Ovis aries: one gene and its partner. The protein of the gene in region 1 binds, or shares a complex with, the protein of each later gene. Links are inferred from orthologs where the notes say so. Each region holds a gene or a part of one and is shown in the gene's direction. Other genes may lie near its edges. The genes, in order: KANSL3 and KANSL2.

Region 1 (3,813 bases):
GAAAGGACTCAAGCCTTGCACATTCCCATGATGGAAGCATTAAACTTCCCATCCTCGCAGAGGTTTAGGTGGGGTCCCCTGAGGGCCCCGGTTCTCTTGGTGGGGGCTGCTGGTGTAAGCAGACGTCCTGTGTCTGTCCTCTTACTGCCCTACTGTGTGGCTGGTACACCTGTGTCATCACCTCGGGGTCGTGTCATCACCTGGGAGTTACAACTGAGGAGGAGGAGGTGGGACCGGCCGGTGGCTTCTGGGTAGGCTGTAGCTGTGGGGAGGTCAGTTGGCCTTGAGGCAGGCCATGCCCTTATTTGCAGGTGTCGGTGATGGAATACGTCACTGCTGTCGTCTGCCTTGGGTTTCCTCTGCTTACCGTGGACGGCCCCAGAGGGGTAAGCGTGGGGCCTGTGGGTGCCGGGCCACTGGCCAGTGGGAGGACCGGAGTAGCAGCCTGCCCCTCCCGTGCTGCTGCTCGGAGGCCGCGGCTACCCGGGGGGCTCTGTTGAGTGGGCTTGCCAGGCAGTGTTGAGCAAGCATCAATTGGCTGACTGTAAAACCGGACCTGCTCAGGATGTAGACGATCCCCTCTTGGATATGAAGACTCCAGTCCTCTTTGTCATCGGTCAGAACTCCCTGCAGTGCCACCCCGAAGCCATGGAGGACTTCCGGGAGAAGATTCGGGCGGAGAACAGCTTGGTGGTGGTTGGGGGAGCTGATGACAATCTCAGGTGGGTAGGGTCCCTGGGTGCTGCCAGAGTGCCATGTTGGAAAGATTGTACCAAAAAATTCTATATACTGTTCACCCAGATTTCCCAAGTGTTAACATCTTGCGTAACCAAAAGTAATTGTCAAAGCTGGGAAGCTGACGTGGGTGTGACACTGTAACCTGGTCTGCAGACTCGCAGACGGCACTGTGTCGTCTCTGCGCTCGTCTAGTCCCGGGCCGAGTCCAGGCCGCGCAGGGCTGCCGGTTGCTGTGTCTCCTCAGCCTCCTCTTAATGTGACGCTGTTCCTCAGCCTATCTGTCGTGACCTTGACGCTTCCTAAGAGTGCTGTTCTGTAGACTGTTCCTCAGTTTAGGGTTTGACGTTGTCTCGTGATTAGGTTGCGGGCACACCTTTGGCAGGAATGCCACGGAGCTCATGTGCCCTGCGTGCAGCCTCGGGGCTGCATGATGTTGCTGTGTCCTGTTACCGGCAAGGTCACCGTTGATCACGTCGTTAGGGTAGTATCTGCCAGGCTTCTCTTCAGTTACTGTTTTTCCCTTTGTAGTTAGTAGTCTTCTTGTGGGGAGAAGATATCTCGAGATGCTGTAATCATAGTCTTTGCCATTGGGCTTTCACTGGGGTAGGCATTTCTTTACATTTTCTTCCTAGTAATACTGAGGATGAATTTGAACAAAGATTTTATTTGTCACAGGCATCCTTTTATATTTGGAGTATAAGCCACCAGAGTTTGGAAGCGATTTTAAGGGGGCATCTTTAGTCATTGAGATGGCCATTCTTCCCTTTCAGGGTCTGCCAGCGGGGCCTTCAGTTGCATTTTCATGAAATGTACTGGGAAAGGGATTGTGTCCTTTATCGGCCTCCTTTCTCACATGCTCAGTCTTATGTATCAGCTTCCTATCAGTGTTTTTACAGGAGAGCTTAGAGTGAGTGCCTGTTCCCACCTGTCTTGTCACTTTCTCACCCACAGATCCTTTGGAGAGAAGCCTTCCTGGCCTTTGTCATCTGACAGCTTCTTGTGGACCTAGAGTCTAATCCTTGGATGCTCAGGGCAACGCTTGCTTGTGAATACATTCTTTCTTATTAATTCAGTCATTCTTGCCTATAGGGGAATAGGCTGTTGAGTCGTGGCGAGGGAGTGGGAGGGGTGAACATGCCTTCCGTTCGAGTCGCATCATGAGGCTGCTTGTGAGACATATTTGCACGGCGCTGAGGGCGTTGGACTGAGAGTCAGGAGACCTCAGTTTACCTCCTGGCTCCTTTGCTTGGGTAAATTGCTTAACTTCTGGGGCTTGGTGTCCTCTTCTGTGATAGGAGCAGGTTACCCGACAGGGCTAGAGGCCGAACAGTAGTGAACTGGGGCCTCGGGATGTGGAGGCTCGAAGTGTCGCTCTCCGCCTTGTCACTTGCCTCTGTTTCTGTCCCTGCTGAGACCCCAGGCAGAAGCCAGGGCATTTAAGTCTGGCTTTCAAAGAGGAGAATGCAGCCAGCGGTGGTCGGTTTCTCTGATGGCTTTAGAACTAACCTGTGGCCACCTTTCCTGGTAATACCATTTCACAGCTCCTAGAAGTCTCAGGGTTTGGAACTGTATTGGGGTACCTCAAGATGAGGTCTTAGCAATCAGATAGAGTTCACCTGTGAAGCCGTAGGTGTAGGACTTCTGGAGTGAACAGTCCCAAGTACCTTCCATGTTTTCTCTGGTTTGTTACCTATGTTGCTTTGTGTCCTCCCCACCGCTCCATGAGGGAGGTACGAGGGTGCCTTATTTTGCAGATGTGGAAACTGAGGCTCAGAGAGGCTGCAGACCTGCCTGTGGGCTACCATCATCTTCCTTCTTCGGCTTAGAAAAGAACCAACACAGAAGAGAAAGCCGTTCTTATTTACATTTGTTCCTGTGAAATGTTTGGAAAGTAAAGATTTCTCTTTTTTGTCTCTTAGAATAAGCAAAGCAAAGAAGAAATCGGAAGGGTTGACGCAGAGCATGGTGGACAGATGCATTCAGGTACACAGCTGCTTTCCGTGGGCCTCTCAGCTGGGCTTGTCTGTCTGTGACCCTTTAGGCTTGGTCTCCTTGGCAGCATCCTCCCGACTCTGTGGAGGATTGGGTATCCCCTGGGGCCTTTCGGGGACCTGAGTCATAGGCAAAGAAAAGGGGGAAAGAGGGAGGGGAGGGAGGAGAGTAATGATCGAAGATGTGAGCACAGCGGGTGGGGAGGAAGGGTTCACTGAGGAGTGGTGAAGTGTGGCCACCCAGAATGCCACCCCACACCCTGGGCACAGGGCCTGGGCTCCTGCAGGTCCCTGGCTGAGTGTAGGGCTTGTGCCGGGCTTTGCGAGGTAGGAGGGACAGCACACTGGTTTCAGAGCTGGGGTGACTCCATTTTAGTAGGGACTGCTGGGGAGCTTCCTGAGGTCTGGGCTCCTCCTTTCCCCAGGACGAGATCGTAGACTTCTTGACCGGGGTACTTACTCGTACCGAGGGGCACGTGGGCTCCGAGCCTCGGGATCAGGATGCCGAGAAGAAGAAGAAGCCCCGAGACGTGGCCCGCAGAGACCTGGCCTTCGAGGTCTCGGAGCGGGGCAGTCGACCTGCGTCACCAGCTGCCAAGCTGCCTGCCTCCCCCTCGGGCTCAGAGGTAATGCAGGCAGAGAGGGGGCGCTGTTGCTGGGGAGTCAGCAGGGTGGGTTCCTGTGCTTGCCAGGCCTCGGAGTTCCTGCAGGGGGATCCCTGACCGGGGGCCTCCAAGGGGACTTGATGATTGACACTCCATCCAAGTGACCTTGGCTTGGCCCTTGTCCTCTCAATCTACTCAGGATCTCTCCAGTGTGTCCAGCAGCCCCACCTCCAGTCCCAAGACGAAAGTGAGCACGGTGGCCTCTTCCCAGAAGTCCAGTCAGATTGGAGGCACCCAGCTGCTGAAGAGACACGTGCAGCGGACAGAGGCTGTGCTGACCCACAGACAAGCCCAAGGTGCGGCCGCCTGGCCCAGGGGCCTCTCTTGGCTTCTGCCTTCTCAGTTGACGTCATGTGGCAGTTGGGAAGTATTGGCACCTGCCGCTTTTTCCAGACGTATCTGTCCATGCAGAATTAGGT
Region 2 (3,813 bases), about 34 Mb from region 1:
ATTCTACATGTGAGAAAATGCAGGGGGGAAATAGATTTATTGGACATAGGAGTTGAGAGGTGGGTAGAGATCAGAGAAGAGTGATGAAAATTTGTGCTTGACTTAAACCTCAGGAATGAAAAACTGATTATATTTGAGTAACAACTTTTTTACCCCCAAAGTTCTGATTAATTTATATTTTATTTACCTTTATATGTTTAAGAAAAATTAAAAGGTGTTTAAGAGCTTCCTTTGGTTTCATGCCTAAGAAAGAGAAACTGATTTAGAAACCTAGGAGTAATTGTCCTAATTACATCTTACTAAGGTTCTGCTCTTTACCTAACCCACGATCGCTTTGGAGTTACAGAACATTGCCACCCAGAAGTCTAATGTTTCTGTGTCTCATAGTTTGGGTTTAGTTTTTGTTTTTTCCTGACTTCTATCTCTTGATACTTCCCGCTGACAGTTTAGGTGGAAGAACTCTTAAATAGTGGGAGGGGTGATGCATTTCTAGACTTGACTGTGTTTGACAAATTCTTAGAATAGCATCTTCTTCATTCCTTGGATTCTGAACTTTATAAGAAGTCATTTAGGGTTCTATTTTCTGAGTAGAATAGTTTCATCTATTTTAAGTAATCTGAATTTAGAGAGCTATTCAGGAACTACTTGTTTGGAAAGTCCATGTAAGTAGTTTGAGAAGAAATGCTTGTTTCTAGCAGGATATTTTCACAGTAGAAACTTTATACTAAGCCACAGATAGATAGATAGATATAGATATTATATATATATATATATGGATGTGGATATAGATGTAATTTATATAGTTACATTGTGCTTCTGGAAATGCCATACTTGATTGTTTAAGTGATTGTCTTTGGGTGTGGTAAACACTCAGTTTGTAAGGTCCAGAAACTTTATTTTGTCTCTGCTAATCTAGAGTGGGTCAGTCTTCACTGATCTACATTTACGCTAACCTGACTTACATACAGGAGATCGGTGGTTTAGTCGCTAAGTCGTGTCCAACTCTTGCGACCCCATGGACTGTAGCCCGCCAAGTTCCTCTGTCCGTGGAATTCTTCAGGCACGAATACTGGATCTCCTGCATTGCAGGCAGATTGTTTACCGACTGAGCTAGGAGGGAAGCCCTTACAGGAGATTGTTACATGAAACAAAATACCAGTTAATTTTATGAGAAATAATAAGTGGTAAAAGGGCTAGATGTCAGTTTCCCCTGAAAGGAACAAAGGGCAAAAACAATTTAACACAATATAATAAGTGATTCCCTTTTTTGAAATTGGTCTAATAATAAACCTAGACTTATAGTTGTGCGTATCAGAGCAAGAAGAGTTAGTACATGATTTTTAAAATTAAAACTAGCTATGAATATTTGTGGCTCTATCTTTAAATAAATGACGCATTTGTCACATGATAGGCATTTACCTCGGAGAAGGCAATGGCACCCCGCTCCAGTACTCTTGCCTGGAAAATCCCATGGACGGAGGAGCCTGGTAGGCTGCAGTCCATGGAGTCGCTAAGAGTCAGACACGACTGAGTGACTTTCCTTTCCCTTTTCACCTTCATGCATTGGAGAAGGAAATGGCAACCCACTCCAGTGTTCTTGCCTGGAGAATCCCAGGGACGGGGGAGCCTGGTGGGCTTCTGTCTATAGGGTCGCACAGAGTCGGACACGACTGAAGCGACTTAGCAGCAGCAGTAGGCATTTACCTTAGTTAGGATGCTCATCTGCCTCCCCAAATGATTTGTTGTAAATTGTAGTCCCCAGTTAAATTCTCTTCTGAGGGTACAATGAAATTAATTTCATTCTAACAAATGATGTTAGGTTAAGGCCTCAATATTTTAGGGATTCAGGCATTAATGCAGATATGCCCCATTTTCTTGAATATGAATAACCTCATCACCTTGTTTAAACATTAGATAGTTTTGAAATTTTCACATTTTCTGAATCTTAGATTTTGCTGTTTTTATAATTTCAGAGTACTTTGTAGTTGTACTTTTCTTATACACAGGTATTATCTCCTGTTTATATATAAGAAAAGTTTTTGGCAGAGATTATTTGCTCTCAGTCCTAAAGTTAATAGTTTTATTCTGTGTATTTCAGTGATTTAAGAGTTAAATTTTAAAGAGCACATACTTTTTGGATTTAAAATTAGTATATAGTTCATGTATATTTTGCCTTTTAAATAATAGAAATAATTTTTACTAGATCAAAGTAGGAGAGTATCAAGTCAAGGTATATATCTAGCTGTTTTTCTTTTCTAGAATAAGGTTTTTTTTTTTTAAGTTTTGTTAATTCATAGTTGGTGGCAAAGCTTAATAAAGTTGATCTAGGTCTTTGGCAATTAAGGGTTTCTCCAGGGTACTATATTTTCAGAATATTGTCAAGAGAATGAGCTGAGGACATTGACTAGCCATTGGGATCAGTGTTTTGAGGGCTGGTATAAACTCCGAAATACAAGTGTAGCTTATTTTTATTTATTTATTTTTGGCTATGCTTTGTGGCTTATGGGATCTTAGTTGCCTGAACAGGGATTGATTCCAGGCCTTTCAGCAGTGAGAGCGTAGAACCCTAACCACTGGACCACCAATTAAAAGTGTACTTTTAAATTAGAAGTTGTAATTGTTTGTGATCTTTTGTACTTTAATTAAAATATATTGAGATACATGCTACTAAATTAACACTTTAATTTACTGGTAAGTGATTTTTTCTGTATTAAATTATTAAAGGGAACAAGACTAGATTAATAGAAGTTTTGAGTGTTCTGTATCTTTACTCCTGTTTAAACATAATGGAAATAACTGGAGAGCATAATGAAATGTTTTTCCTTATCCACATTTTGAGATCATACATTAGTATCCATTCTTGGGTAGTTTGTTTTTTAATGACAATAATAAAATTCTGTGAAAACATTTTTATTTAGTAAGGTGATTATCTTAGCACTGACTGCTTGTTGAATAGCAAACCTAAGTCTAACCTTTACTCTTTGCTCCTTTTAAGCTTGGGTCTTATTGTTGTGCCTTCTTATCCTTTTTGAATCATCTTATTCTAGACATGCTGGTGTCTATACAGCAGAAGAAGTGGCCCTGATTATGCGTGAGAAGCTTATTCGTTTGCAATCTTTGTACATTGATCAGTTTAAACGACTTCAGCATCTGCTCAAAGAGAAGAAGCGACGTTACTTACACAATCGCAAAGTGGAACATGAAGCTCTAGGCAAGTTTTATGCCAGTTCCAACAACCTGTCATGGGTTTAATCAACATGTAAATTTGGTAGTTAGACTTACTTCTTTTTTGTTACCTGGAGTGGAGAAGGATTTGCTTCTGAAACTGTTTGAAGATGCATCCTTGGTTGCTTGGCAGATAACATCTTGACTGTTTTGACTTTCCAGGTAGTAGTCTCCTGACTGGCCCAGAGGGACTTTTGGCCAAAGAACGAGAAAACTTAAAGCGTCTAAAATGTCTTCGTCGGTATCGTCAGCGCTATGGAGTGGAAGCCTTACTACACAGACAGCTGAAGGAGCGCAGAATGCTGGCCACAGATGGTGCCGCCCAACAGGTGATTTGTGTATATACCTCTAAGGTATATACACTTGCTTTTACAGAGAACACTTTGCTTTTACGGTGAACGCTATTGTACAGTTTTGTTTCTAAAATCTAACTTACTAGGCTTACAGGGCTTCTCTGATGGCTCAGATAGTAAAGAATCTGCTTGCAACATGGAAGACCTGGGTTTGATCCCTGGTTTGGGAAGATTTCCTGGAGAAGGAACTAGCTATGCACTCCAGTATTGCCTGGAGAATCCATGGACAGAGGAG

Evidence for each region.
Region 2: KANSL3 (region 1) and KANSL2 share a complex: the UniProt entries of both Homo sapiens proteins name them as parts of the NSL complex. The link is inferred for Ovis aries from reciprocal best matches to the Homo sapiens genes KANSL3 and KANSL2.

Annotation. Positions count from the first base shown.
Region 1 is NC_056056.1:103,885,282-103,889,094, forward strand, and holds part of KANSL3 (KAT8 regulatory NSL complex subunit 3), read left to right. Parts: intron 1-311; coding exon 312-386; intron 387-564; coding exon 565-722; intron 723-2,657; coding exon 2,658-2,721; intron 2,722-3,154; coding exon 3,155-3,355; intron 3,356-3,533; coding exon 3,534-3,690; intron 3,691-3,813. UniProt on the Homo sapiens protein: Non-catalytic component of the NSL histone acetyltransferase complex, a multiprotein complex that mediates histone H4 acetylation at 'Lys-5'- and 'Lys-8' (H4K5ac and H4K8ac) at transcription start sites and promotes transcription initiation.
Region 2 is NC_056056.1:137,506,368-137,510,180, forward strand, and holds part of KANSL2 (KAT8 regulatory NSL complex subunit 2), read left to right. Parts: intron 1-3,047; coding exon 3,048-3,215; intron 3,216-3,387; coding exon of another isoform or gene 3,388-3,391; coding exon 3,392-3,554; intron 3,555-3,813. UniProt on the Homo sapiens protein: Non-catalytic component of the NSL histone acetyltransferase complex, a multiprotein complex that mediates histone H4 acetylation at 'Lys-5'- and 'Lys-8' (H4K5ac and H4K8ac) at transcription start sites and promotes transcription initiation.